Linked DNA regions of Xenopus tropicalis. The protein of the gene in region 1 purifies or fractionates together with the protein of each later gene. This does not show direct contact. Links are inferred from orthologs where the notes say so. Each region holds a gene or a part of one and is shown in the gene's direction. Other genes may lie near its edges. The genes, in order: dnajc7, dnajb1, stip1, bag2, bag5, vps13b and pld2.

The links.
Region 2: the proteins of dnajc7 (region 1) and dnajb1 purify together in Homo sapiens (affinity purification with mass spectrometry; 3 studies listed by BioGRID and IntAct, with this or other methods). This does not show direct contact. The link is inferred for Xenopus tropicalis from reciprocal best matches to the Homo sapiens genes DNAJC7 and DNAJB1.
Region 3: the proteins of dnajc7 (region 1) and stip1 purify together in Homo sapiens (affinity purification with mass spectrometry; 4 studies listed by BioGRID and IntAct, with this or other methods). This does not show direct contact. The link is inferred for Xenopus tropicalis from reciprocal best matches to the Homo sapiens genes DNAJC7 and STIP1.
Region 4: the proteins of dnajc7 (region 1) and bag2 purify together in Homo sapiens (affinity purification with mass spectrometry; 7 studies listed by BioGRID and IntAct, with this or other methods). This does not show direct contact. The link is inferred for Xenopus tropicalis from reciprocal best matches to the Homo sapiens genes DNAJC7 and BAG2.
Region 5: the proteins of dnajc7 (region 1) and bag5 purify together in Homo sapiens (affinity purification with mass spectrometry; 4 studies listed by BioGRID and IntAct, with this or other methods). This does not show direct contact. The link is inferred for Xenopus tropicalis from reciprocal best matches to the Homo sapiens genes DNAJC7 and BAG5.
Region 6: the proteins of dnajc7 (region 1) and vps13b purify together in Homo sapiens (co-immunoprecipitation; 3 studies listed by BioGRID and IntAct, counting the BioPlex papers as one, with this or other methods). This does not show direct contact. The link is inferred for Xenopus tropicalis from reciprocal best matches to the Homo sapiens genes DNAJC7 and VPS13B.
Region 7: the proteins of dnajc7 (region 1) and pld2 purify together in Homo sapiens (affinity purification with mass spectrometry; 3 studies listed by BioGRID and IntAct, counting the BioPlex papers as one, with this or other methods). This does not show direct contact. The link is inferred for Xenopus tropicalis from reciprocal best matches to the Homo sapiens genes DNAJC7 and PLD2.

What each region holds. Positions count from the first base shown.
Region 1 is NC_030686.2:7,162,637-7,166,860, forward strand, and holds part of dnajc7 (dnaJ homolog subfamily C member 7), read left to right. Parts: intron 1-1,161; coding exon 1,162-1,280; intron 1,281-2,642; coding exon 2,643-2,796; intron 2,797-3,389; coding exon 3,390-3,554; intron 3,555-4,224. UniProt on the Homo sapiens protein: Acts as a co-chaperone regulating the molecular chaperones HSP70 and HSP90 in folding of steroid receptors, such as the glucocorticoid receptor and the progesterone receptor.
Region 2 is NC_030679.2:134,724,115-134,728,988, reverse strand, and holds the start of dnajb1 (dnaJ homolog subfamily B member 1), read left to right. Parts: upstream 1-1,822; 5' UTR 1,823-1,869; intron 1,870-4,690; 5' UTR 4,691-4,723; coding exon 4,724-4,874. UniProt on the Homo sapiens protein: Interacts with HSP70 and can stimulate its ATPase activity. Stimulates the association between HSC70 and HIP. Negatively regulates heat shock-induced HSF1 transcriptional activity during the attenuation and recovery phase period of the heat shock response.
Region 3 is NC_030680.2:35,680,095-35,684,802, reverse strand, and holds the start of stip1 (stress-induced-phosphoprotein 1), read left to right. Parts: upstream 1-1,434; 5' UTR 1,435-1,440; coding exon 1,441-1,449; intron 1,450-3,787; coding exon 3,788-3,997; intron 3,998-4,094; coding exon 4,095-4,236; intron 4,237-4,324; coding exon 4,325-4,466; intron 4,467-4,708. UniProt on the Homo sapiens protein: Acts as a co-chaperone for HSP90AA1. Mediates the association of the molecular chaperones HSPA8/HSC70 and HSP90.
Region 4 is NC_030681.2:95,351,524-95,354,962, forward strand, and holds the end of bag2 (BAG family molecular chaperone regulator 2), read left to right. Parts: intron 1-2,102; coding exon 2,103-2,506; 3' UTR 2,507-2,643; downstream 2,644-3,439. UniProt on the Homo sapiens protein: Co-chaperone for HSP70 and HSC70 chaperone proteins. Acts as a nucleotide-exchange factor (NEF) promoting the release of ADP from the HSP70 and HSC70 proteins thereby triggering client/substrate protein release.
Region 5 is NC_030684.2:98,468,934-98,473,157, reverse strand, and holds bag5 (BAG family molecular chaperone regulator 5), read left to right. Parts: upstream 1-1,520; 5' UTR 1,521-1,554; coding exon 1,555-2,907; 3' UTR 2,908-3,209; downstream 3,210-4,224. UniProt on the Homo sapiens protein: Co-chaperone for HSP/HSP70 proteins. It functions as a nucleotide-exchange factor promoting the release of ADP from HSP70, thereby activating HSP70-mediated protein refolding.
Region 6 is NC_030682.2:128,808,311-128,812,534, reverse strand, and holds part of vps13b (vacuolar protein sorting-associated protein 13B), read left to right. Parts: intron 1-1,880; coding exon 1,881-2,075; intron 2,076-3,003; coding exon 3,004-3,128; intron 3,129-4,224. UniProt on the Homo sapiens protein: Mediates the transfer of lipids between membranes at organelle contact sites. Binds phosphatidylinositol 3-phosphate. Functions as a tethering factor in the slow endocytic recycling pathway, to assist traffic between early and recycling endosomes.
Region 7 is NC_030679.2:148,025,796-148,029,957, reverse strand, and holds the end of pld2 (phospholipase D2), read left to right. Parts: intron 1-1,368; coding exon 1,369-1,593; 3' UTR 1,594-3,097; downstream 3,098-4,162.

The sequences.
Region 1 (4,224 bases):
AGCGTTTTATAAATAAAGATATACATACATACAATTATCCTAGGTCCAGTATGCTACTCTATTCCTCTGGGAGCCACACTCTTTAAACACTGCTTCTCTAGGACCCATAAATTACCTGCTTCTCTAGAGCCAATAAATTTACCTGCTTCTCTAGAGCCAATAAATTTACCTGCTTCTCTAGGACCCATAAATTACCTGCTTCTCTAGAACCCATAAATTTACCTGCTTCTCTAGAGCCAATAAATTTACCTGCTTCTCTAGGACCCATAAATTACCTGCTTCTCTAGAACCCATAAATTTACCTGCTTCTCTAGAGCCAATAAATTACCTGCTTCTCTAGAGCCCTCACTCTGGTTGAGGGAAAACAAAACTGTTGTGGCCAGGAAATGCTTAGTGATGTAATTTCTGCCACATGACTTGCTAAAACTTGTCTATTATAATAAATAAAGTACCCCCTGTTGTAAAATATAAGGATAGTAGAAGTCACCTCGGAGTTCCATGACCTGTAAAAAATGCACTCTGCATAAGGCCTCGTCCCTTATTATGGTCATGGAACTCCTCGGGGACATATAATATCCCTATATGTTACAATAGGGGGTACTTTATTCACTATATATTATAAGGAACTCCTCGGGGACTTATAATATCCCTATATGTTACAATAGGGGGTACTTTATTCACTATATATTATAAGGAACTCCTCGGGGACTTATAATATCCCTATATGTTACAATAGGGGGTACTTTATTCACTATATATTATAAGGAACTCCACGGGGGCTTATAATATCCCTACATTATACAATAGGGGGTACTTTATTCACTATATATTATAAGGAACCCCTCTGTGACTTATAATATCCCTATATTATACAGTAGGGGGTACTTTATTCACTATATATTATAAGGAACCCCTCTGTGACTTATAATATCCCTATATATTACAGTAGGGGGTACTTTATACACTATATATAATACTGTGCCTATAGTAAAGCAAATCTAGAGAGTCAACTCCTAATTCACAGCTGATATAAGAAAAGATTACTAATTATTGTATGCAAATCAATACAGTATTACAATTGTGTAATTAACCAAGGAATGGCTTGCCTTTAGTATTTGTTGCATTTTCGTTATTTTACTATATTTGTGCTCAATACGACAGGTTGTGTTCTGCATGGATCGGTCATTAGAGCTGGCCCCTGCTTGCCATCGCTTCAAAATCCTCAAGGCAGAATGTCTAGCACTTCTTGGTCGCTACCCAGATGCTCAGTCTGTGGCCAGGTAGGAATACGACTTGTTGGAGAGATTAGGGATGATTTGACTAATGGTCCCCATACACGGGCTGATCCGCTCACTTGGCGATGTCGCCAAGCAAGCAGATATTCTCCCGATATCCCCCACCTACGGGTGCGTGATATCGGGAGAATCCAGGCTAATTCAATCATTTGGCCCTGAACAACGGGTATAGGCAAACTTGGTTCGGGGAACACATCAATGAGCCAATGCGGTCCCCGATCCGACTAGATTTTCTAACCTGCCCGATCGAGATCTGGGCGATTGGAGGCCAGATATCGGTCGGGCAGTCCTGTCGTTAGTGCCCCTACACGGGCCGATAAGCTGCCGAATCTGTCTAAGGGACCCATATCTGCAGCTACAATCGGCCCGTGTATGGGGGGCTTTACACAAGTGATAAATTGCCCCAGTCACTATCGCTATCTAGCTTGCAGTCACGTGATCAGAACTGGTGTCAATTTACTCCTGTGTAAGTAAATCTTCTCCATTAAATTTATCTGTTATCAAGAGTGGCAGCAGTACAATATGATTGCAGGTTAAAGGGGGGGGGTTCCACTTTTCATTCATTTTTAATATAATGTAAAGAGTAATATTCAGAGTCAATTTGCAATTGGTCTTCATTTTTTTATTTGTAGTGTTTTTGGTTATTTCATTTACAGTTCTGCAGCTCTCCAGATTGGAGTTTCAGCAGCTTTTTGGTTGCTAGGGTCCAAGTTACCTTAGCAACCAGGGAGTGGCTAGGATGAGAGTATATGAATAGGAGAGGGCCTGAATAGTAAAAAAAAAAAGTAACAATAAAAAACTGAAGCCTCGCAGAGCAATAGTTGTTTGGGTGCTGGGGTCGGTGATCCCTGTTTAAAAACTTCAAAGTTGGTGGCAAATAATCGAACTGCTCTCCTAAATCCCGAGGGTTTGGGTGTATTCCCCCTACACCCCTACAGAAGATCTAAAGCGTTTGCGTTTAGCGAACCTCACTTGTCGCTAGCACAGCCCCTCCATCCTTCCCTGCCATGTCCCAGAATCCACTATTTTCAGATTCGGCCGAATGTTTTGTGGCTTTTGTCACTCCTCTTAAATGCTTTTTCAGAAGAATTGTGCCTCACTAGGGCTCATTAATATTTGGCTATTACAAGGCACGTATAGGTCCGTTTCAATAAGTAATTGAATACGTATTTAAGCTGAAGAATCCGTACAAAATTAAATAGAAGCTTGCTATCGTTGCTTTGGGTATGTCATTGTTTTGTATTTGTGGGCTTAATGTGCTTGAACAAGACTTGTTATTTGTGGGTCTTCATTAATTCCCTTTATTTTGTGTTTAGTTCTTATCTGACCCCCGCTTTCTCCCCTCAGTGATATCCTAAGGATGGATGCCACAAATGCAGATGCTCTATATGTTCGGGGGCTCTGTCTTTACTATGAAGATTGCATTGAAAAAGCTGTGCAGTTCTTTGTGCAGGCCTTGAAAATGGCCCCTGATCATCAGAAAGCCCGTCTAGCCTGTAGGGTAAGTTTACAGAGTAAGCCGTGGTTACAGATAAATATATAATATGGCTTTTGGTTTTTCTTTCTGATCCTTAAGTGATAGAAACATGCAGACAAGGAGAGAGAGTTGGGTTGAACAGCATACAGAGGGTGTTAGGTGGGACCCTGGAGAACAGAAACTAAATAAAACGAGAAAATTAAAAACTGGAAAGCAGCCTGGGCCCTCCAGTTCCATCCCACACAATTTATTCTCAGTGAGAAATTATTATTCTATATATATATATTTTTTTAAATATATTTTATACAACAATAACTGCTATTAATCTCCTACTTGTTGGGATCCAGATAAGTGTCAGCCTGTGCTTCTGCTGAGCCTATAGATCCATGTCCAGAGACTGCTTTCCCTTTAGGGTGAAGACACACTGGGCTACTAGTAGCAGCTACTAAATTCCGGAAAATCCCCTGCCGTAGACAAAACTGAGAATTGCTTAGAATTGTTAGGGGTTTTTGTATTAAAATGTATTCACTTGTTTTTCTCTGGCATTAAATGCAGATATAATATGGTTTTTTAATTTCTTTTAGATGTGTAACAAAGGGTCTCTACTTCTTTTTCAGAATGCCAAGGCTCTGAAGGCTAAGAAAGAGGAAGGCAACCAAGCGTTTAAAGATGGCAACTATGACCTTGCTCACAGACTTTACTCAGAGGCACTCTGCATAGACCCCAATAATATCAAAACGAATGCAAAACTGTACTGTAACCGTGGCACTGTCAATGCAAAGGCGAGCATTTTACTTACCGCTTTATGTGCTCATTTTCTATCAACTAATACCAGGCAATGGTTTATCTGGGATCATTACTGCCCGGCAGCCACTGTGTATGGACCCTTTCAGAGAGTCTGCCATTGTCCCGAAGTGACATGGGCTTTACTCCCCTTAAGCTCTGCTCCTGCCGGGATGGGCCAAATTATGAGGAAACAGAAAAAGTCATTTTTTTTCATATGAAATATTGTTGTGGGGCAAGAATCAACTGATAAGTGGCAGCAAGGGAACTTTCAAATGATCTTCAGTGTGGGCAGCAAAGGGGGATTTTATAGTGTTGTCATTGGTTGTATGAGTAGAAAATGCCAACCCTGATATAGATATATATAGATATGGATGGATATATAGATATAGATGGATATATAGATATAGATGGATATATAGATATAGATGGATATATAGATATAGATGGATATATAGATATAGATGGATATATAATATATATAGAACCCACCAACATTTATAGCTTAAGAATATTTTAAGAGCACAGAAGGATAACTAAAGTGTTTGAGTAGTTATGATCAGTGTGTGTGTGGCTTAATGGGGTAGATCACCTTTAACTTTTAGTATGTTATAGAATGGCCTATCCTAAGCAACTTTTCAATTGGTCTTCATTATAATTCTTTTATCG
Region 2 (4,874 bases), on another chromosome or scaffold:
CTTATCTGTGCTGTTATAGGGCAGAGCCCTCTACACTCAGATTACAGTTATTAGGCTACCCCCTATAGGTTTAGCCAGGTTGACCACTCCCCTTGGCAGACTATATAGTGTCTTGCACAAGGAAGTGTCTTCCTCTTTGGCTGCTGTTGTCCTAAGGCTGCATGTCACTGAGCCTGAGGCAATTAGGCCCCAGTAAAGAGAACCAGCCATTTGTAAGTCGGGGACAGGGCCCCGTGAATGAGAACTAGCCAGCACAGTCAGTTATATAATAGCACCCTCTAGGAGTGGTGAGCATAGTCAGCTTATTTAGTAAGGGCAGCGCTAGCCCCATCAAAGGAGACTGTAAGGGTTTAGTCTAACCCAGGCTCTGTATGCCTTGCTGTAGGGACCACAGTTAAGACGCAGGATTCAGGCAGTTCCTCACCCTGAACCATAGTTGGCTGGAGGGGATCTGTTCCAGTAAAGGGCATCCATTCCTGGTATACAGCTAATACTCTGCATATCCTTTCAAGTGGGTTATACTGTTCCTTAAGGGTCACATCTGCTGTTATCCTCTGTGACCATTCAATCTGCTGTGTCTGTGAGTATAATCCCTGCGGCACTATTAAGTTGTGCCTTGTCCAATAAACTATTCTATTCTATCTGCACCACATAAGCTCTATCTAGTTGTAGTACAACTACACCCTCAGCTCCATTAGTACCTCCCATATAGCGGAGGCCCACTCCTGTGCATTAAGGTCGCATGTAACACATGCTCTATACCTATCACTAGCCTGGGTTTGGTCCTTAAATAGGCCAAATAGGTGTTACATATAGTATAAAAATGATGACAGTATCTCTTTAACTATCATTTTCCTCCCTAGAATAACCTAAACAAGGAGTGCCACAAAGCTCCTACTTCCTAATGGAAGTATCACACCCTACAGGGATATACCGTAGGTGCTGTGCCAGGCAGGGAGTGCCCAGCCAGGTGTGCTTGTTACACTAAAAAGCTTCAAAAAGGCCCAGGTTACATAGCAGAAAACAGATAATCTGTGCAGATTCCCATTGTATTTTATAGAGATTATATATTATCTGCTATGTAACCTGTGCCTTTTTTTCTATCTCTAATGGCCGCCCCTATGGCTACACAGCAGCTTTGTTTATATAAACTATAGGGGCAAAGACACATGGGGCGATTAGTTGCCGCGACTTTTTAGTATAATCCCTGCGGCACTATTAAGTTGTGCCTTGTCCAATAAACTTGTACTATAGTTCATGAGAAAGAACCTTTCTGGCGTCCATTATTCTATCTGCACCACATAAGCTCTATCTAGTTGTAGTACAACTACACCCTCAGCTCCATTAGTACCTCCCATATAGCGGAGGCCCACTCCTGTGCATTAAGGTCGCATGTAACACATGCTCTATACCTATCACTAGCCTGGGTTTGGTCCTTAAATAGGCCAAATAGGTGTTACATATAGTATAAAAATGATGACAGTATCTCTTTAACTATCATTTTCCTCCCTAGAATAACCTAAACAAGGAGTGCCACAAAGCTGCTGTGCTTCTGGGAAATGGATGTATGTTTACTAATAACCAGCTGGGCAGGTACCCAGTCAGGATAAGCAGCCCTGAGAATCAGTAGGCGTGGCTCTCACGGAAAAGCGATGCCTGACTGAGTCGCCTCTCCGCCAATCCTCTGCATGGGGGCGTGACCCTAATAATGTTTCCAGTGTCTGATTGGTCAGCTTGAGGGGGGGCGGACAGGCGACGTTGCCAGAGTACGGAAGAAAGATCTGGAAGGTTCTGGAGGTGGAGCTGCACCTACAAGAGAGGGGCCGAGAGTTGACAGGAGGAGCATACGGACAAGCGATTGGTGCTAAGGTACGTACTGCGGGACGGGATGGGGTATTGCTCTGTCTGTGGCTTCTGGCACATCTGTGCGTATAGCGCTGCCGGGCTGTTTGGGGATGTTCCATTTGCTGATGGGCAATAGGGGTGCCACTGATCGTTAGATAATGAGAAAGGAACAGAATGTGTCTGCATAGGGGATAATGGTGTGTCTGTTGTTAGGGGCCCTTCTGCCTTCTGTCAGTTACTCTCATAATTCTCCTAATATGAGGCAGTTACAGTAAAATCGGGACCAGTAATTCCCGGGTATACCTGCATATCTATAGGCTTAGGGAATGGGGCAGCTCATTGTTGTTTGGGGGGGGGAGTCTATATACCTGAATCAACCCATAATAACTAACTGGGGGGTACTCAAGGGGCAGCTGTACTTGGGTAGTGTAGTACAGGTATGGGATCCCTTATCTGGAAACCCGTTATGCAGAAAGATCCAAATTATGGAAAGCCTGTCTCCCATAGACTCCGTTATAATCAAACAATTCAGAATTTTAAAACTGATTCCCTTTTCTCTGTAATAATAAAACAGTACCTGTACTTGATCCCAACTAAGTTATAATTACCCCTTATTGGGGGCAGAACAGCCCTATTGGGTTTATTTAATGGTTAAATGATTCCCTTTTCTCTGTAATAATAAAACAGTACCTGTACTTGATCCCAACTAAGATATAATTACCCCTTATTGGGGGCAGAACAGCCCTATTGGGTTTATTTAATGGTTAAATGATTCCCTTTTCTCTGTAATAATAAAACAGTACCTGTACTTGATCCCAACTAAGATATAATTACCCCTTATTGGGGCAGAACAGCCCTATTAGGTTTATTTAATGGTTAAATGATTCCCTTTTCTCTGTAATAATAAAACAGTACCTGTACTTGATCCCAACTAAGATATAATTACCCCTTATTGGAGGCAAAACAATCCTATTGGGTTTAAAAAAATGTTTTATTGATTATTTAGTAGACTTAAGGTATAAAGATCCAAATTACGGAAAGACCCCATATCCGGAATACCCTTGGTCCTGAACATTCTGGATAATGGGTCCTATACCTGTACTGCTCAGCAGGGAGCCCATTGGCATTATTTCATTTGGGAAACTTGTGTAATACTATTATGTACTGGCCCCAAATAGTGGGATGAGCTGGTCTCCTTACTCTCTGTACAGCCCTGGAGTAACCTGTCACAATACCCTTTTTTGGCTGCTTACCCCTCTCAGCATCACTGCCAGAGGGGTATGGAGATCAAAGCTCAGCAACAATTGGATGGAAATCCCTGCATAGCCATAAATAATGTTTATATGTGAAGGGCCTGAGTGCTGGGGGCATAGCAGGATTGACAGAAAGCAAAATCAGCATTAATTGGTAGAAATATGGGCCCCACCCTAATGGAAGTATCACACCCTACAGGGATATACCGTAGGTGCTGTGCCAGGCAGGGAGTGCCCAGCCAGGTGTGCTTGTTACACTAAAAAGCTTCAAAAAGGCCCAGGTTACATAGCAGAAAACAGATAATCTGTGCAGATTCCCATTGTATTTTATAGAGATTATATATTATCTGCTATGTAACCTGTGCCTTTTTTTCTATCTCTAATGGCCGCCCCTATGGCTACACAGCAGCTTTGTTTATATAAACTATAGGGGCAAAGACACATGGGGCGATTAGTTGCCGCGACTTTTTAGTCATGGCAACTAATCTGCTTAGCGAAACCTCGTGAGTGATTAGTCACAGCGACTGCTATTCTATCCTATAGCAGAAGAGCTACTGCGATTAGTTGCCGCGACTGACTTAATTAAAAGTTGCGGCGACTAATCGCCCCGTGTGTCTTTCTAAACAAACACACAACTTTTACCTGCGCAGGGCAACAGTATATTATACTTTCATTACTTTTCAGTTGGTCTTCATTATTTATAGTTTTTGAATTATTTGCCTTCTTCTTCTTCTAACTCCTTGCAGCTTTTAAACGGGGGGGTCACTGACCCCGGCAGCCAACAAAAACTATTGCTCTGTGAAACTACAGTTTAATTGTTATTGTTACTTTTTAGTGCTTATTGTTCTCTTCCAAGTCCTCTCCTATTCATATATCAGTCTTTCATTTAAACAACACCATGGTTGCTTAGGTAATTTGGAGGCTAGAGACCAGATTGCTGCTGAAACTCCAAACGGGAGAGCTGCTGAACAAAAACTGAAATGATTAAAAAACTACAAATAATAAAAAAAAAATGCAGACCAACTGCAAATTGTCTCGGAAAATTACTCTCTTCATCATATTAAAAGTTAACTCAGCCTTGAACAACCCCTTTGTAACACTTTCATTTTTGTGGTGTTATTGCTACTGTGGGCACCCTTAGGGCCAAAGCACACAGAGCTACTTAGTAGCAGCTACTTGTCATGGCTACTAAACACCAGAAAATTAAATTCCTTGCCATAGACAATACTAAGAAATTGCCTCTGCTAAAATTCACGTAGAGACAATTATCAGTAAATGATCAGCATTGTCTATATTTGTAGCCACAACAAGAAGCTTTGTGTGTCTTAGCCCTTACTAGTAAGTTGCTAGTCTTGTACCACAACCCTGCAAGAAGAATCATGTAAATATAAGTATGTGGTTGCTATGGGTTACTGGCTAGGTATTTCCTATGTACCTGCATAACCCTGTTATTGTGCATTTCTGAAAATTGTGCGTCGTGTCAAGGATGTGTTTCCTTCTTTTACTTTCACTTTATTGGGCTTTTAGTTCTTGCTTTTAAGTTTGGTTTGCATGCAATGGCTGACCGATGTATATTACCTTTTTGCCTGCAGGTATCTTCATAGGGTAATAGAATACCTGCCAACATGGGGAAGGATTACTACAAAATCCTTGGAATCCCCAAAGGAGCGACGGAGGAAGAGATTAAGAAGGCGTACAGAAAGCAAGCTCTTAAATATCACCCAGATAAGAACAAGGACCCGGGAGCTGAGGATCGATTCAAAGAGATTGCGGAGG
Region 3 (4,708 bases), on another chromosome or scaffold:
ATCCAGGCCTGATTGGGGAACCTGAAAATGTTACTCGAGCAGGGACCCCCAACCTTTCTTACTCATGAGTCACAGTCAAATATAAAAAGACTTGGAGAGCAACACAAGCATCATAAAAGTTCATGGAGGAGCCAAATAAGGGCTAAGATTGGCTATTAGGCAGCCTCTATGCACACTATCAGCTTACAGGGGGCTTTATTTGGTAGTAAATCTTGACTTTATTCAACCAAAACTTGCCACAAAGTCAGGAATTCAAAAATAACTCCCTGGTTTGGGGGCACTGAGAGCAACATCCAAGGGGTTGGTGAGCAACATGTTGTCCCTGAGCCACTGGTTGGGGATCACTGTACTTGAGCGTCTAGTCAGGGTACTGGCCTATTAATTCAGTTACCTTCCTTGCACACCTAGGGGTACATTTACTAATCCACGAACGTCCGAAAAGCGTCCGAATGTGTTTTTTTCGTAATGATTGGTATTTTGCGACTTTTTCGTGAATTGTCGCAAATTTTTCGAGCGCTCAATACGAAAAAGTTGCGACAATTTGCGAAATTCGTAATGGCTATGAAAAAGTCGCGACAATTCACGAAAGTCATAATGGCTATGAAAAAGTCTCGACAATTCACGAAATTTGTAATGGCTATGAAAAAGTTGCGACAATTCACGCAAGTCATAATGGTTATAAAAAAGTCGCTACAATTTACGAAAAAGTCGTAATGGCGACGAAAAAAATCGCAAAAATACGAAAAAGTCGCAAAATGTTCATTTTCCAATCCGAATTTTTCTCATTCGGATTCGTGGATTAGTAAATCAGCCCCCTAGTGTGCTCACAATTCACTAGTACTTCTTCTTGGGGTTCTGATGATCCTGGAATCTGAGCCACAAGATACAACATAGTGAAAAAAGGTATTCACAAAGGGATTCAGAACCTTTTCAGTACTGCTGACCATGGAGGTTATTATGTATAAATGAAATTCCCTGCTAGGGCCAAGAAAAGTAAGTATAAGAAATGTGAGAGATGTATTGGTAGTGTCCCTGCAGCTCTGTACAACCGAACACATTGTTGGTTGGAAGTGACATCACTTTTCCTCAATGAAACAAGTGGGGTCTTAAAACCAATCAGAACTCTAGGCCCTCGTAGCAACCAATTGGCGTAGTAGAAGCTTCCAGAATCCTCCAGCCAATTTCTCCCCAAGCGTGAGCTTACAGCCAGCCAATCGGCTTTAGAAGTAGTGAATGGGCGGGATAAAACAAGGACAAGGAAGTCTTGCTGGGAGAGTCAGCAAGGGGCGTGGGTACGTGATGGATAACAGCATTGACCTGTCAGCGAAGGGAGCTTAAAATGTTCGCCCAATAGTTGCACACTCGGTAGGCGGGAATTGAACTGTCATCGTTTAGTAGGTTCGAGAAGACGCGTGGGGAGGTCGGAATCAGAGGGTTGCAATGGAGGCGGTAAGTGGCAAATTGTTAGTTAAGAGTGATGGGGATATTATAAATGCTAACCCACACACTTGCTCCGCGTTATGGGACAAGTAAGCTTTCCATAGTTGCGGGGAATTTATACTTGTGGGTCAGTCATTAAGTCATGGAGTGAGGGTCTGGGCTATGTGGGATAGCTGTTCTTCCTTTCAGACGATTGGTAACTGCCCTCAATAGCATTCAGTGCAAGAGTAGTTGCAGAACTGCAGCTTCCAGCCGTACTGGCATTGTGGCGTCAGGAGTTATTTTTCTGCCAGTCTCTGCCATCTCATGCCACGTCTGTCAGTTTCTCCAATAGGGGCAATAGCTCACCCTTGTTTCTAGTTTCCATGCTTCTCCTTGGGATTTACGCCTGTAAAACCATCAGCCTGCAGACTGCACTGGTTTCTGTATAGCCATATGGTAGGCAACTTAGCTAATCAACCCTACTCTTATTTATTCTAAAGGTTTACTGTGTATTGTTCACCTAATAAAATTGTCATTATTTGGAACTCCCTCCACCAGCTACTGGTGATCTCTGGTGTAGTAAGAAGTTCATGGGTCCCACAGCAAAATAATTTTTTGGTTACCCTAAAATTTAGAAATAAGACTTTTGCATTGTGATGGGACATTGAATAGTTTCTGATGGGACACAGATATTGAAGGAAAACGTTTAAAAATCTGGATTAATCTGGATTTATGCTATTGTATGTGTACGTCTACATCTTTGAATAAAAGTTTTTACTGAGGCAATTATATTGGCATAGTCATCTGGGAAATCTGTAAGAGAGAATCCCAAGTATTATTAAAGAGGAAGGGTGGGTTCTGTAGAAATGAACTACAGTTCTTAAGACGGCTATAAACTTAAAGGTATTGACAGTAAGTACACGACTTAGTACAAATTCCCTCCCAGTCCTTGTGTCCAAGTAGCATTTAGAAGAGACATGTTTGTACCATGGCTATTGGACATTTTATAGACTGGACAGGTTTAACCATTTTGGTCGGTTTGGCCCAAAGAAACAAATTTCCAGTTGTGTGTAGTCAGAAGATAACCATAGAACAGCAATGGCAAAGGACGATGTACCAACTTTACATGCTTGGCCAGCCTGCCATCTGATCTTTCCTATGAACTTTCACATTTGCAATATATACATCTTCATATTAATAGTTTGTCATTTTATATACAGATGCAGTGGCAGGGTGCACAGATGCAAGTCAGTGTTATTGTTACTTTGCACTCTGTCCCTCCATCAGCACATGTAGGTGCAAGTAAGGACCTGACCATGACTTCAGCACTGCCTGCATTCAGTGTGAGGTAGTTAAGAGAGCAAATATGCCTCAGATGCAGGTGCACCCAAACCATTATTAAATGAGCCCCAGTATTTTGGCCTCTTTGTCTACAAGTGTTATGGAGAGGGATTCACAGTATGCAGCTTGATAATTTTTATGTTACATTTAGTTGGTTTCCTGGAAAAGAAAGTAGCGCTGGCACAGCTGGGCATAAGTAGGGTAATTGAATTGGAGTCCTTTCTCTTACCTATTCCTCTTAGGCAAGGGGCATATGGGGTGTTTTGCTTGATGTTGTCATCTAGTGAACAACAGCAGCATTCAAAATACCCCTGTCTGCCTATCGCAGCTCATTGTTCAGAGCAGTGACAGGTAGAAGGGCAATTAGCCTGCTGCTGTTTTATCTCTGTATGGCAGTAGTGTATAAAATGGCCGTGGGCCACAAGTTTTAGGCTAATGGTACACAGGGCTGGGAATCCCCTGATGTGGGAATTATAGCTACAAAAATGTCTGTAGAACATTAACCTGTGCTATAACAGAAATATATCATGCATATTTTATTATTATTTATGTTTGTCACCAGTTCCTTTCTACTGAACTGAACCTTTATTTTCTTATGCATGTTGCAGGATTAGGCAAAAAAAGAATTTTTTTATTTATTTATTTTTTTTATAGGTACACAGGGATCCAGATATTTTTTATGTATTATGTATATATCTCTTATTTTTATATTCAACCTGCAGTTGAGCATGTTATTATTTGTACTATTTGAGCCAAGGGTGCCTAGCAAGGCATAGTTTGAGGCAATGACATGTTTAAATTCTGCTTTCCCCTTCCCTTCAATTTTCTTTTCAGCCCACGCTGCCCAAAGTGAGTCAGAGTGGGGGTGGCAGCAATTTAGTTCCAGGCACCAGTGGCGCAAGAGTTAATTAAGCAGCAGTGGAAGGCATAGAGATTTGATATCTTTGTACATACTTTCATTATAACAAATGACATATCGTTATGTATATGTTTCAAAATTGTTGTCCCTGTTCTTTCCCATCAGGCAAACGCACTGAAAGAGAAAGGAAACAAAGCACTTTCAGCAGGGGATCTGGATGAAGCAGTCAAATGCTACACCGAAGCCATCAAACTTGACCCTAAAAATCACGTCCTGTACAGCAATCGTTCTGCAGCCTTTGCCAAAAAGAAAGAGTTCACCAAAGCACTGGAAGATGGCGGCAAAACCGTGGAGCTGAAACCAGACTGGGGGAAGGTGGGAGCTGTAGAGCTAAGCATATGTAGTGACCTGTAAACCTGTTGGTAATAATTTGTGTATATCTATAAGTGTCTTATTGTTATCTTTCTATTAGGGTTACTCTAGGAAAGCAGCAGCTTTAGAATTTCTGAATCGTTTTGAAGAAGCAAAGAAAACTTATGAAGAGGGGCTGAGGCACGAGCCAGCAAATGCACAGCTGAAAGAAGGGCTGCAAAATATGGAGGCCAGGCTGGCAGGTACTATAACATTTTCTGTTTCTTCCATAAGATGAAGAAGCCAGACAGTGTTCCCACTGATCCCTCTGTTTTCCCCACTCCTCTTCAGAGAGAAAATTCATGAATCCCTTCAACTCTCCAAACTTATACCAAAAACTGGAGTCTGATCCTCGTACCCGTGCGTTGCTGAGTGACCCCAGTTACAAAGAACTGATTGAACAGTTGAAAAACAAACCATCTGATCTTGGCACGTAAGTTGAGAACAGTTTCTCAGAACGTCATTCTCATTGTTGTGGAACCATCAGTTTAACCATATGTGTTGTATACTTTAGGGCTAACATAGGTTTTTAGCAGTAGCAGTGCAGTAAACCATAGCAGTCAATTAGCTTTGACTAATCTAGTGTAAGCTAGATGAGCATTTCTCGCTCTTTTGCTGTCAAGACCTTATTTATTTTATCATAGCCAGCAGACCTTATCCAAAGTGTGGCTAGTG
Region 4 (3,439 bases), on another chromosome or scaffold:
CCCCTCTCTCATAACACCATCTATGGAGCACCTACTCACGCATCATAAATATAGTTAACATTTATACATTACATCAGTAACAAAAATTGACACATGATTTTTTTAAAAGCACGATCATCAATAATATCAACATAAATATGGGGGCCAATAGAGAGCGGGGATAACCCGATAGTGAAAAACAAAATACTCAAACCATCTCCCATTGTGGGAAAGTTAGAGAAGTGAATAATATACTATATATCAGAGTCAGAGTCCACGAGGAGCAATAGTATCCAACCTTCGAATCCATTGAGCCTCCCTTTGTAGTAGTAGTTTAGAAATCACCACCACGCAATAAAGGGGGAATATGATCAATCAAACTAGCCCTTAACATGGGCAACGAATGTTTCTGTTGTGTAAAGTGCCTTGCAAGTGGAATATCAGACTTACCAGTAGCCAAAGCCGCACGGATCACTGATCTGTGATTGTTCATTTGTGTGGGGAAAGATGTAACACATTTTCCTATATAGTAAAAGCCACACGGGCACATAATGCAATAGATGACATGATCCAAGGTACAAGTCAATCTATGCCGTATCAAGAATTTTTTCCCAGTGTGGGGCAGAGCAAATGTAGTGCCTGTGATTAAACAGCCACACGTTTTGCAACCACCGCATTTGAAACATACAGGTTTACCAGGTTTCAGCCACGTTCCAGATGATTCATGTTTCAAATCAGTCACCATCAGCAAGTCTCTAAGCGAGCAACCCCGGCGATACGCATACACTGGAGGAGACATATGGGTAAATGGTAGACCAGAGTCTAACTGCAAAATGGGCCAATGCTTTTTAAGTATCATATTAACACCGTAACTCCCTGGTGTATAGTCAGTAATAAACACCATCCGATCTAGTTGTGTCTTGTTTAGTGAAGCTTTTGGTAAGTCATCCTGTGTCATCTTGATCGCCTTCTCCATTTCACTGTGGAGGAAATCCAAAGAGTATCCCCTCTCGACATAACGGTCACACATCTCATAGGCTTGCTGTGATGCAGTTGCAAAGTCAGTATTAATCCTAAACACTCTCAGGAATTGCGTGTAAGGAATGGACTTAATCACAGATGGAGGATGGAAACTATGGGCATGGAGTACTGTATTTCAATGTCTCTTTACGATACAAAGTAGTACCCACTCCCATAGGTGTACGAAAAATCCTAACATCCAAAAAATCAATCATATCTTTAGCATAATTCGAAGTAAATTTTACAGGAGTAGGAAGAGTATTAAGACTGGCAACGACCGTTTTGACTCCAATGTGGCCCCCACGCCATAGAATCAAGATATCGTCAATATTTCTACAGTATAACAATACATTGTCCATATAGTGAGGATAGATAAATTCAGACTCAAATGAGTCCATATATAAATTGGCGTATGAGGGGGCCACATTAGAGCTCATCGCCATGCCAGTCTATTGTAAATAAAAAAGACCCAGCATTTCTCTCACAATATCTATATATCTATACCCCCTCCATTCACCAGCACATTTTCCTGTAACAAATAGCAGCTTTCACCCAGCAGCTACTTTCGCTCTCACAAATCTTCAGTGACATTTACATCTGCAAACAGCACATGGGTGCTATAAAAATGCAGACTTACAAAGGTAGAACTTCCTGTGGTAAAAAGTCCTGTTTGGATTGGGCACTGTAATGGGTAAACTGAGCTCAGGAAAGGAGGTTAGAAGAAAAATGTGTCTCCAGCAGAGTGCAGAGCTAGAGCCGAGTTTCTCTGGAAATCCAGCTGTGCCATCTCCTCATTGGCTGCTAGACTGGAGGGTGTGTTTGGTAACCTGAGTTGAGAAAAACTGAGCATGCTCAGTAAGCCAAGAGCCAAAGTCAGTTCCTAAGTGAGGGGGCCAAGTGGGTTACAGGAGTGAATAAATTCCAAGTAAAGGGATGCATCAGCCTTACAATTAACCTTTGAACAATCGTAATAGCGGGTATTTAATGATTTCAAAGAGACTGTTCACTGATTACATTTTTTGTCGGGGTTGTACATTTCCTTTAAGCTCTAAAAAATCCTATGAAATTCTTAAATCTTTGTATATTTTGCCTTTTGTTTAAAGGGGAGAGAGAAGAACTACTTGTAACAGCTGAACGTCTAATGGGCCGCACCCTTACTGTTGCAGTAGCTGTAGAAACCATTAGAAACCCCCAACAGGAATCCTCTCTACAACAGGCCAGCATGATTATTGATGAAATTTTGAAAAAAGTCATGGACAACCTGGAAAATGGCAGGAAACAGTTAATGGGACTGTATGGAGCTTGTAGCTCGGAAGTTCCAGCAGGACCAGTAGACCAGAAGTTTCAGTCCATAATTATTGGATGTGCAATAGAGGACCAAAAAAGAATAAAAAGAAGGCTGGAGACCCTTATCCGGAATATAGACAACTCGGAGAAGTCAATCACGTTGCTTGAGCAGCAGAGGCAGAAATCTGCTTTTAGTTTGATTCACACCAAGAACCTGTAAATCTCCGGACTGACCCTCTACTTTTTCTTTTGCAAGGATATTGCAAGAACTGCAAACAGGAAGATAGACATTTAAATGGTATAAATCTACTGATACCATATTTAAATTCACCTTTAATTAAATGTTCACATATCATTCGTCCTGGGTTTGTGTTGAATTGCAACAGATATAGTTTTAAATACCTATAGTTCTATACGGCAGTTTACTAACAAATTGATCGATTATCTCATTTTACTAAATAACAAATACTGCTGTGCACAAAATGTTATTCAGTATAACTTAACCTGGGTCAAATCTGCTTTGAAGACTGGGCCAAAATCACTCCTTAACAAGTGCAAGTGCTTTGAAATACAAATAACAGAGATAAGAGAAAGATCCAAGGGTCTGGATAATTTTTGGAATGCACTGTATGTTTCTGTTGTCTTAAGATTTTAAGAACAAGCTAGTGCCAGTGAAAAGTTCCAGTAACGGTTTGGCACAGGTAATGCATTTAAAAAAAGAAGCAGGGGCATATAATTGATAAATCAAAATTCCTGGAGCTACAGAGGCCATTTTCAAAGGTTTAATTTAGGAACTAGAACAAAATATATCCCCTTCAGAATTTTGCAACTTAAGGCGGCTATACACTGTCTGACCTCCGGTGCTATCTGACTGATTGGCTTTTGGCCAGAATAGACAGATACATTAGTGAAGTTACACAGTGCAAACTATCAGAACTGCAGTGGCTATGGCTTCTCTTTACTTCTCATCCTCTGCTGCACCTACAGAAGGTCAGGAAAAGCGGGTAACCTGCAGGTTGTGGGTCTTACCTATATTTCTTATTTTATATTATTATGTTGGGTTGAAAACCGAACATACTGTTCTTCGAATTCAGCGTATTCTTCCGCTTTTTCTTCTTCTTCTTTGTGCCCCTTATTTTCTAAACGCTACTCC
Region 5 (4,224 bases), on another chromosome or scaffold:
CAGAGGCAGCATAGGGTAGGCATAGTATGGCACATAGGCAGTATAGGGCAGGCAGAGTATGGCACACACAGACAGCATAAGGGAGGCAGAGTGCTGCCTGTGTATGCCATATGAATAAACAACAAAAAATTTAAATGGAATAAAAACCACAACATTTATTGGCTTAAATAAATACAACAAAAACTAACATATAAATCATACCAAAAAGGACAGGGGTATCCCAGTGCCTAATGCTACCCACTCTCCTAACGCGTTTCGCACCGTGTGGCGCTTCATCAGAGGAGGTCTGTGTATGCCATACTCTGCCTGCCCTATGCTGCCTGTGAGAGGTGAACCTGGCAGGGGTTTGTTCTGGGAGTTTGTTAGTAGTTGGAAACAGCCATTAAATGGTCCCTAAGGTGTGTAATTATGTTGCTGGGGGTTGCTGTGCTATCCACAGGGGAGGAGGAGGCATATGGATTTAAGGGTGTGTCTTAATATGACATAATATAATTCTTTCACATATGAATAACTGTTGATATCCCCGCAGTGAGGACCAAGCATTTGGGTTTTTGGTGCACTACCACCATTGTGATAAAATGGGTGTGGTTTGAAGTAGGTGTGGTTCAAAAAAAGGGGAGTGGCCAAAACTGGCTTCCATTAGCGGCCCTCCACCGTGTATGCTAAAGAAATTCCGGCCCTCGGCACCGCAGAAGTTGGACAGCACTGGTATAAACTTTGACTAACTAGCATTATCTTCCCTTTATGTTTCACACCAGATTCACTGGTGTGCTGTGTGCACTGGCCTCAAAATTTGTGTGAGCATGGAAAAGTGTAAGAGGGCATCATGGCCAGTACTTTCTGCTAAACGGGATTCAGTTTTCTACTTAATTTAGCTACATAGTTTCATACTTAAGTTCTATGCAGGAATTTTTGGAGATAGAGGAGGAGAAAGAAAAGTATAACTAGAACATTATTTTATTAAAAACAGTTTAAGAAAAATCCTTCCAGTTTTTAAGTGAAGTGCGTGGGGCATAGGTTTCAATTATATATATATATATATATATATATATATAGCATGTTGCAAGAAGACAGGCACTCACGTATAAGTAGGTCCAAGGGAGCCTGGGTGCAGTCCCAAAATAATAGATGGAGTAGCTGTAGAGAGAGTCCGCACTCACAGGTCTTAAGAAAATATAGAAGTTTTATTCAAATCAACATTATTCAAATCAGTATATATATATATATATATATATATATATATATATATATATACAGTATATATACATGGATGAAGAGATGGTTGTAAGCTCTTTTGGGCAGGGCCCTCTTCACCTCTTGTATCGGTTATTGATTGCTTTATATGTTACTCTGTATGTCCAATGTATGTAACCCACTTATTGTACAGCGCTGCGGAATATGTTGGCGCTTTATAAATAAATGTAATGTAATGTAATGGTTAGACAATACCTGTTTTTTGTTTAAATAAACATGTCTTAGGAATGGCATCTTTACCTTTTTGTTTTTGGTTTTTTTTTTAGCACCAGTATCTTCTAAGAAATTGCTGTATTGAGTATGGATATGGGTAATCAACATGCTTCAGTCACAGCTCTTCAAGAAATACAGAAGAAGGTCAAAGAGATTGAACAACAAGTGGTGACATTTAGTGGTCTAAAGAGTGACCCAACTTATAAAAAGCTTGAAAAAGATTTAACTAAACAGTTATTTGAAATAGAATCTATTGAGACAGAGGGAAAAGGAAACATTCTACAAGCCCAAAAGAAAGCTACTGAAGAGACAGAAAGAGTTTTAAAGGAACTGGAGCAGAATGCAACCCATCCTTGCAGACTTGAGATCGAAAAGATCTTTAGTGAAACTCAGAGTTTGGTAGCGCTACATACTACACAATTTAGTGGGGAAGGTCAGAGAACAGATGAATTTGAGGAAGGAATTCAGAATATTTTGAAAAGACTTACTCAAGTAAAAACCGAGGGAAAGATCCCTCTAAGAAAAGCTAGGTACCGAACTTTAACTAAAGTTCTTGCCATTCAAGAAATTTTAGAAAGCTCTTCTAAACAACAAGTACTTTCTCTCCCTCTCTCTGCTGAGGCACATCCAACAGTTTCTAAAATTAACTCAATTATGTGTGATGTGAACAAAGCCAGATGCAGTCTCATAGCTCTTCTAGCTGGCGTCAATGACAATGAAACATACAGGCATTTATCTTGCACTCTTACTGGATTAATTGCAAACCTGGATGCTCTGGATGTTTCTGGCCACACAGACATAAGAGAGTATCGCAAAGAAGTTGTTAAGGAAATCAACAGTTTGCTGAAATATTTGGATTTAGAGGATGAAGCTGAGTTGGGAAGTGCTTATGACTTGGGCCAAAACCAGTCAATTGTAAAAATAGAAGAGATTCGCAAAGAAGCAGCAAAAATAAAGAACAGTCTTTTAGAAGTGCAGCAGCATATGTCTGACATCTATATGGGTACAAAGTCAGAGCTGCAGGGCCTCATAGCTAGCTTGGATGAAGTTAGTGTAGGGAGGAATCCTTGCATTCGTGAAGCTAGAAGACGAGCTGTAGTTGAGGTCCAAACTGTCATCACCTACATTGATCTAAAAGAAGCTCTCGAAAAGCGCCAGAGTTTACCAGAACACACAGTCTCAGAGCCTCCATGTTATATAGCTGTATGGACTGTCTTTGGACATTTATCTGAACTTCAAAAGGAAGTCCTCTTCTTTGATGGGAAGAGAGCTGATAAAAATTATATGAGATTAGAAGAATTTATTACTAAACAATTGCTGGCTCTTGATGCCATTGATTCACAGGATGGCCGTACAAAGGCTGCAAGAAAACAAGCTGTGAAGCTTGCAAATAATATCCTTGGATATCTTGATATGAAAACTGATGAATGGGAATACTAAAAAAAACACTGCTTTCGCTTTGCTTGCACTTTAAATATGGCTGTAAAGATGTCTCAGTTTCATCCTTGCATTATCATTGCAAGATAGGGTTTTTACTAAGCCAATTATCTGTCATAAAACAAAGCTTCAGTCAAAAGCTAGCCAGTTTTTGTTTTCATGTACCAATGGCGAAAAATTATAGAATGTTTAATGCTAAATATCCCAGTTTGACTTTATCAAGTGGAACAATAAGTGGCATATTTCTAGTTGTATCTCTCTTCTCATTTTTGTGCTGATTCTTAAATAAAAGTTCTGTCTTTTTTGATGGGGGTACAACATTGTCATTGTTATGTACACAAGTGAATAGTATGTACATTTTTAATTATATTGTTCAGTGTAAAAAGGCTGCTGCGTTTAAGGTATCTAATTACAAAATAGACATTGCAGCACATGCAGAATTAAAAGATGTAGTTCAGCTTGATTTCTGTTAATTCCTATGGGATTTTTAGAAGTGTGTTTATCAAATGATGAACTCTAACTTTTACCCAGTAATAAACAGAAATTAAGGGTGAATGTGGGTTTTCATGTATTAAGCTCTAAACTCATTTTTTAATAAATCAGCACCATTGTGTCATTATATATTTAGAGAATGTGCTTCACAAACCAAAATGTGCATCTCGTAATTCTGTACAGACAGCGAAAACATTCTTAAAGCATAGCACATGCTATTCAAAATGGGCAAAAAATTCAAATTGAATAAGGTTTTTTTTTAAAAAAAGATATACAAAAATTCACATTTTATCGCATTAAATCTTGCACAAGCTCTTGGCCAAAAAAATTAAAAGAATACAACATTAATTTCAAATATGATAATACAGGTATGGGATCTATTATCTAGAAACCTGTTATCCAGAAAGCTCCAAATTATCTCCCATAAACTTGAACATGATTTGCTTTTTCTCTGTACTAATTGTACAGACTGTACTTGATCGTAACTAAGATATAATTAATTCTTATTGGAGGCAAAACAATCCCATTGGGTTTATTTAATGTTTAAATTATTTTTTAGTAGACTTTGGAGACTTTGGAGATCCAAATGACAGAAAGAACCTATATCTAGAAAACTCCAGGTCCCGCGCGTCCTGGGTAACAGGTACCATTCATGGGTATACTTACACAGATTTGTAGCTTATAACCTCCCCAGAACAGAAATGTCATGTAATGTTTTTTACGTCTACATTTTTTAGGTCCCAAAAATAAAACCTGATTTTTACATATTTGCATTTTTTTGTGGGAGGGGACTGGCATTGTTACATCCATGACTCTCTCCACCATACT
Region 6 (4,224 bases), on another chromosome or scaffold:
ATACACAGAAAAGATTTCTGATCTTGCAATGGATTTTGCTTTGTGTTCATTAATAAACAAAGTAGAAGAATATGATTATGTTTGGGTGCATTTTATAGACGGATAGAGTATACAAAACACTTCCAAAACAATAACAATAGGGATGCAGGATTCAGTTTGGGATTTGGCCAAGATTCTGCATTTTTCAGCAAAAAGCCTTAAAATCATGTGACTTTTTATCACATAAACACAGAAGTTCTCTTTAACCCTTCCCTATGCTAGGATTTGGAATCGGTTTGGTATTCAGCCGAATCTCTCCTAAAGGAGGTCACCAAATAAGCAGATCATATGACGTATGGCTAGAACAGTCAGAAGTAATAGAAATTAAATTGAGTGCATATTTGGCTTAAATCCCAGTTGGCTGAAGAGCAGTGAAGATCAGTGTTGGTTCTGGGGCCATGTTGGATTACTTGATAAGCGGAGCAAACTGTCTGTAGTATCTTTTGGAGGCAAGTGTGATATGGATAAGAAAATGTTGCCCATGTCAGTACAATAATCAGGAAAATTATCTTTCTACTAATCTTTAAATCACCTCAGTATTATTTACACGTTATGACTGGAAAATATGTTGCATTTAATTAAGACGCATGAAATTTCCAAACAATTAACTAGTTGATTACATTTTTCCCATTCTTAAATTCACTTTCAGCTACTTTGCTCCCTTCCCCTTTTGATCTTTTGCAAGCAGAACAAATTATCTCTGGTAGAAAAACCATTACTTGATTTGTGGGCACAACTATAAAGGTAAATTCCTGCAAGCTTAATCTGGGATTTTATACATTTAACAGTCATAAATTGCAGTTTGGCCTACAAAAAAAATTTATCTAATCAGCCACGATAAGGGAAGTATTTACCATTCAGGATCATAATTAATTTTAAATTCTTTCACTTCACTTAACTCAGCTGAGGCCAATAACAATATATTTCTGCCCAGATGGCCTGTAGCTCCTGAGAGAAACACAAACTACATGGTGCTGGGGTGCTGCAATGCAGACACAGACTTCTTTTACTTCTGGGAATTGAACGTGGTGGAGGACATCTTCACAAAGGGAGCCCTGCATAGCATTCTGTTGTGTTGTTTTATTGATACAAGGCTGTAACTATCTTCACTAGAGCAGTGAGCTGACATAGCCTGCATTCAAATTGCCAGGCACCTAGATTCTTCAGGCTGAAGTGCCAAAGTCACCACCATATATGTGGTCTCATAGTAGTATGAGCAGCTGGTTGCATGTCCATATCAATTTATTGCTGCTGTTTGCTTGTTTGGCAGGATTGGGCATTCAGCTTATAATCACGTGCACACAACACTCATTTATATGTACGCACGGCTACTAAACGACGGGAAATATCCTGTCATAGACAATACAGAAAATTGCCTCTGCTAAAACACAGGTAGAGACAATTATCAGCATTGTCTATTTTAGTAGTTGTGACAAGTAGCTGCTACTAGTAGCTCCATGTGTCTTCACCCTTAGTCTGTTCTGTACAGAACAAATGAAATGTAGGCACACTTCAGCCCCAGCTGGGGCAGCTAGCTTTTCCCATGGAAGTTTTGAGCGTGTTACAGGCCCTTTAATTATGCACAGTTTCCTTACCTGCTGCCATGTGATATATAAATATTTGACAGATTTTTTTTATTGCCGCAGATTTTGTGTTCAGCCAAGGAATGTAAACTGTTATTCTGACATTGATTTTATTTGGCAATGTGGGATATGAAGGTTGCACTTAACATTTTCCTATGTAGTTGTCATTGTTAATAAAAGTCTCCCATTTAGGTAGATGTGTCTTACCCATGCAGAATGAAACTAAAGTAAATTATTTTTATTTCTCTTTCTCTTCAGCATGCCAGCCCTGCCACGTTAAACACAAGTTTTCAGCCAATACGGCCCCTGCCTGCCATCAAAATACTCGCTGACAAAATCAATTTTGAACATTCAGTGCCAATGTATGCAGAACAGCTTGTACAAACTGTAAGCAGCCTCAGCCAGCCGTCGGATAACCTGCTGCACCACTGCTATGCACATTGCTATCTGAAGGTATGTAACATTGACTGGTTTATATACACATATATATGTTTGCGTGCTTGTGTCTATACCGCAGACACATATACAAAAAAATTAGCATCTTTGCGTTAAGTTGGTACTTTGCAGAGAGTTTACGAAGATTAAAACTTTTTATTTTCTAGCAATAATAAGAATTCATATAAAATCCCTAATGACTTTCTAGTGCCGCAAATTTTATCACATTTATTAATATTTTCCTGACAGTTAGGAAAGTGTTTTAACGAATTGGCACATTCGTTGAAGAAATGTGCCAATTTTTCAGAATTGTATCTTTCAAGCTATAACACTTGATACAATTGCTACAACCCAGAAAAAAAGTTAAGCATTGGGCACATTTTAGTGCAATGCAAATCTATAAGGGGCTTGCCAAATCAGTACAAATCATTTTCCATAGGCTACAATTGGCTTGTAAATCTGAAGCTAGCTTGTCTCATCAGAATTGCCTCTGTGGCTTTAAATAGTAACAGTGTCATGGAAGTATGACCACTTTTTTTATTGGTGGGTATGTGGAAATCCTCAGCAATATGGCAGCTGAAATAGGCTGAATTTACAGGCCAAATCTGTGCATGCATGGCAGGCATAAAGGAGAACTAAAGCCTAACCAAAGAAGTATGGCAGAAATGTTGAACATTTTTGTTTTTGCTTCTGTTCTCAAGAGAGAGAGGGATTATTGATTCGGGATAAAATCTAATTTTCATGCTAGCTTCAGGAAGTAAATGTTGGCACCCCATCTTTATAAATTGGTTAAAAACTCATAATTTTTTGGTTCTGTCTCTTCCTGTATTTTATTTCTTTAAATATAATAATCTGATAATGATGCTAACCCCCCAAATTTTTGCAGTTCACAAATGTTTGAAGTACTATATTTGTGCATCTTGGCATCAGTTTCTGTGTTTTTCAGGTCTTTGGCTTTCAAGCTGGACTGATATCTATAGACAGCAAAGGGCTTTGTTCATCCCATGTGCCAGTGATCCCCTCCTTCAGCACAGCACTCTATGGCAAACTTCTTAGGCTCCCTCAATATTGGTAAGTCTAATATAGAACCCACCAACACAGTATGGCTCAGGCTCGGACTGGCAATCTGTGGATTCTGGCAAAGGCCAGAGAGCCTGCTAAGATGCCACAGATAATCACTATTTATTGGACATGTGTGGGTTTGTTAGGGCCTCTATGTACTTGCAATGCCAGGGACTATTTTGAGTGCCAGTCCAGGCCAGGTGTGGCTGAAGCTTAAATAAAAAAAAAAGAGGCAGTATGGTGGTGAGAGGTCTTGCACTGCTTGGGTCCCAAATATGATTCTCTAATTTCCTTTCTTTTCTCCCACAAACATACAAGCTCCTGATAAAAATTGCCCATAGTGTGTGTATGTGATAGGGACATATAGAAATAAGTGGTATAGGATCCACAAATAATTCTAATTTTTACTGTTGATCTTTTTCTCTTTAAAACAGTTGCTTGTACTTAACTACGCTGCATAAATCCATATCGGTGGCAAAACAATCCTATTGGTTTTTTTTCATGTACATATGATATTTAGTAGATTTAAGGAAGGTTGAAACTCTTGAAAGAGCCCATAACTGGAACTCCGAGGTTCTACGCTTGCCGGAAAATAGATTCTTTACCTGTATTATTATCTCTGCATAGAATGGAACTCTCAATTTTCTGTGACAAAAACATTAAAACTGCCTACTGCATTGTGAAACACAGGGGATATTTATCATTAAGCCTGTAATTATTTCCTGATTGGGGATTTATTTTTCACAAGGGATATATTAAATCATGATATGAACTTTGGTCATGTCGTAAAATTTGCTGTGATAATAGACCACTGCTTTTGCTTAACCCTAAGGGCTCTGGCACACGGGGAGATTAGTCGCCCGCGGCAAAACTCCCTGTTCGCGGGCGACTAATCTCCCCGAGTTGCCTACCCCTGCCATCCCACCAGCGAACATGTAAGTCGCCGGCGGGATGGCAGACGCGGCGGGGCGATTTCAGGAAATCGCCGAAAAAGACTCGTATCTCAAGTCCATCCCTGGACTTGAGATACAGATGCTATCAAACCCCAATGAGATCTGCACTGACATGCATACTGTTGCATTTACAGTATGGGTGTTTGTCTTCC
Region 7 (4,162 bases), on another chromosome or scaffold:
TGTGGCTAATGGGTATAATGCGCTGGCAAAGGGTACAGGGACAGAGGGTAACCCTGTCTTATTCCTCTGGTAAGGGAAAACGGAGAAGTAGTTCCGTTCACTAGGTCTTCCTAGAGGTGACTCCATTCCAACGAATTAGAGAATTGAGAGCACATTTCTAGAGCTTTTTTTTTCTGAGGAACAAGTGTAGGTTGATGAATAGTCTGCAAAGATGTTTGATGAGCAGCCAGACATAAATCCAGATTGGTCAGGGTGAATTATATCTTGCACCAATTGCTGCAGTCTACTGGCTAGAATTTGAGAGATGATAGCGACTTATTAACGGTATGGAGACAGATGTTGGTAACAACAGAGTATCCTGTGTTTGCTGGAGGGTTTCGGAGAGATATGTTTGGTTAGGGCAGGGATCCCCAACCTTTTGTACTTGTGAGCCACACTCAGATGTAAAAAGTGTGGGTGAGAGCCACGCAAGCATGAAAAAAAGTTATTTTGAAAAGTCAAATAAGGGCTGTGATTGGCTATTGGGTAGCCCCATGTGGGCTGCTGGCCTGCAAGAGGCTCTGCTTGGAGGAAAACTGAGTCTCTGGGCTTCCAAAATTTGCCCCCAAGCTAGAAATTTTAAAATGGGCACCTACTTTGGGAGCAACATCAAAGGGGGTGGTGAGCAATATGTTGCCCCAGAGCCACTGGTTGGGGATCACTGGGTTAGGGTCTTATACCAGTGTGAGGGTAGGCAATAAGAGCCAGGTGTTTTGTTCGATAGTAAGGAACCAGTGGTGGTGACAATCTCTTCTTTTGAAATTTGGCAATACAAAAATGATAATATAACTGGAACTGGTATGGTGTCTAAAAAGTGGTTTAGTTGTGAGTCGACGTGTGTAGCTATAGATGTGTAATGTATACAATAGAATTTGTCAGGTTCTTGGGCTGTTGGATGGCAACCTTGCAGTTGCTATAGCTGTAGAGGTTGTGTCTTGGCTAAGAAGGCTTGAAGTTGCGTTGAGTTTCATAACATTGAGCATTCTTGGTTTGGGTGGTCTCCTCTCTTATTCTTATTACGAGATTGAGGCAATTTAAAGGAAAACTATACCCCCAGAATGAATACGTAACCAACAGAGAGTTTATATTATGTTAAGTGGCCTATTAAAGAATCTCCCCAAACTGGAATATATATATCAGTAAATATTGCCCTTTAGCATCTTTTCCCTTGAGCCGCCATTTTGCGATGAGCTGTGTGCTCCCTCAGAGTTATTCCATTGGCCTATAAGGATCCCGTTATGCAAGCTGTGGGCCAGTAAAATGATAAGATAAAGACAAGCTCCTCTTCTGGAACTGCCTAATTTCCTTTTGTGGCTTTTCCTCAACTAGATGTTCCGGTGCCTCCCCGCCGACGCCGTGACCAGTAACCGTACCCTGCAGGAGTACACTGCCGTAAAGAACCTGGCAGCGCTAAACCCTGGCCTAGCTCGGGAGCAACTAACTGGCATTAGGGGCCACCTGGTGGAATGCCCCCTACAGTTCCTGTCTGGGGAGAATCTCCTTCCCCCTCTAAGCAGCAAGGAGGGCCTGATATCCTCTCAGGTTTGGACGTGAGCCCTGGGCACGGCACCTTGGACTAATGCACTTTGTTCTTTAGACTCACCTTAGGGTGCTGGACTAGTAACAAGAGCAGCACCCATGTTACTCGCTAAACTGCACAGAGTATTGCACTAGCCTTTACAGCTCTCAGATACTCCACTGATTGCCACCATGTCCGTTACTGTCTGCCACTAATCCCTGATACACACCCTGTATTAATCCCAGTCCCACACACACAGTATCCTGTATTAATCCCAGTTTTACTCACACAATATCCTTTGCTAATTACAGTGCAACATGCAAACTATTCTGCACTAATTCCAGCTCTACATATGCAGTATCCTGTCCTAATCCCAGTCCTACTCACAGTATCCTGTCCCAATCCCAGTCCTACTCACAGTATCCTGTCCTAATCCCAGTCCTACTTAAAGTATCCGGTCCTAATCCCAGTCCTACTCACAGTATCCTGTCCTAATCCCAGTCCTACTTACAGTATCCTGTCCTAATCCCAGTCCTACTCACAGTATCCTGTCATAATCCCAGTCCCATACACCATATCCTGTCCTAATCCCAGTCCTACTCACGGTATCTTGTGCTACTCCCAGTCCTACTCACAGTATCTTGTGCTACTCCCAGTCCTACACACAGTATCTTGTGCTACTCCCAGTCCTACATACAGTATCCTGTGCTACTCCCAGTCCTTTTCACAGTATCCTGTCCCAATCCCAGTCCTACTCACAGTATCTTGTGCTACTCCCAGCCCTACACACAGTACCCTGTGCTACTGCCAGCCCTACACACAGTATCCTGTGCTACTCCCAGCCCTACACACAGTATCCTGTGCTACTCCCAGCCCTACACACAGTATCCTGTGCTACTCCCAGCCCTACACACAGTATCCTGTGCTACTCCCAGCCCTACACACAGTATCCTGTGCTACTCCCAGTCCTACACAGTATCTGTTCCTAATCCCAGTCCTACGCACACTATCCTGTATTATTCCCGGCTCTACACACTCCATATAACGTACTAACCCCAGCTCTACTAATATTAACTCTACATAGACTGTATCCTGTACTAATACCAGTTGTAGATATGCACAATTCAACCATTTTAAGATTTAGCCGAATACTGAATTCAACACACAAGCAAAATCACATAATCGTTTAAGAAGTCATGTGATCACTAGGGTTGAATTTGGTTCAACCAGGGCCTCGGATTCGTCCAAAGCATTGTGTGCTGTTCTGCACCCACAACGTACGTGGCACATCCTGTACTCGTTGATAGGCGCTATACACTAATACTGTTCTATTGCAGAACCATGCGCGTAGCATTGTCCGCTCGTTTCAGCGCTGCATGATCATTTTATTTATGGACTATGCAAGTATATAGAGTTCATTTTGTCTTCCATGGTAGGGGCTCCGGCTGCTACTGCACGGGGTTTGCACCACTCTCTCCGGGGGGAAAACAAAACAAACAGGGGAACCTTTGTAGTCAATAAACTTTGTACTTCTTTTTATGTCGTTGTTTTCCTTTTTTTTCTAAATTCAAAAAAATCGAATTTTAACATTTTTCCAAATGAGAAAAAAACTCTAATATCCCAAATGTGCGCAAATCTCGATCACTAAAAAAACAACTCGAACGGAATTTTGAAAAGACGTCTCCCATTGGCTTTTACATGAACTCACCAGCTTTTAGACTGCGATTTTTTTTTATTTAGGTTTTTGCTCCTAAGAAATCTTGAATATTCAGTTTTTCGGAAATTCGAATTCACAATTTTAAAAAGTAAAAATTGCAGTAAAAAGTCAGATTTGAATGTTTTTACTGTATATCTGCCCATAGAAGCTAGGAACCAACTTTTTAGGGTTTGGCCGAACCCACTCGATGGATTTGGGCGAATCCCGAACCGAATTCTAATTAATATACGGTAATTAGGATCGGAAGGGGTTACGCGCGTTGAAATTTTTTTTCACCTGACCATTTAACCCTTTCCTGATGCTAATTAGCATATGCAAATTTATGCTAATTCAGATTCAATTCGGCCGAAACTGAATCTTTAAAAAAAGCCTGGATTTGGCCGAATAAGGATAAATTCAACTTTCAGAATTTATTATTTTGTTCTAAAAAACATGCAGAACTACCAAACAAAACAACCTTAAATGAGAGAATTTATATCAAAATGCTACTGTTTTCGAAATGATTCGATACCCTTCTCCAACCAATGGCAATTTAGTCCATCATTTTTGAGTACTGGATACTCTACAAAAGATTTGCTGAGTACCGAACCTACACAACATAAAGTATAAATGGGGACATCCATTATAGCTTATAATCTACAGCAGGGGTGGCCAGACTTTTTCGTGCGACGATCGACTTTGGCTCCTCCCCGCGTATGTACACATACCCAATAAAAGCGTCGCACTTCCACATTTGCAGGCTTAGACGTGGTCCACCAGAGGTCCATGGGGGATCGACTGATGGACCGCGATTGACGGTTTGGCCACCCCTGATCTACAGTGAAGACTGGCTTCTGCAAAAGGCTACGTCTGGATTCTGACCCACCAGATATGCAACCTCCTAAGGT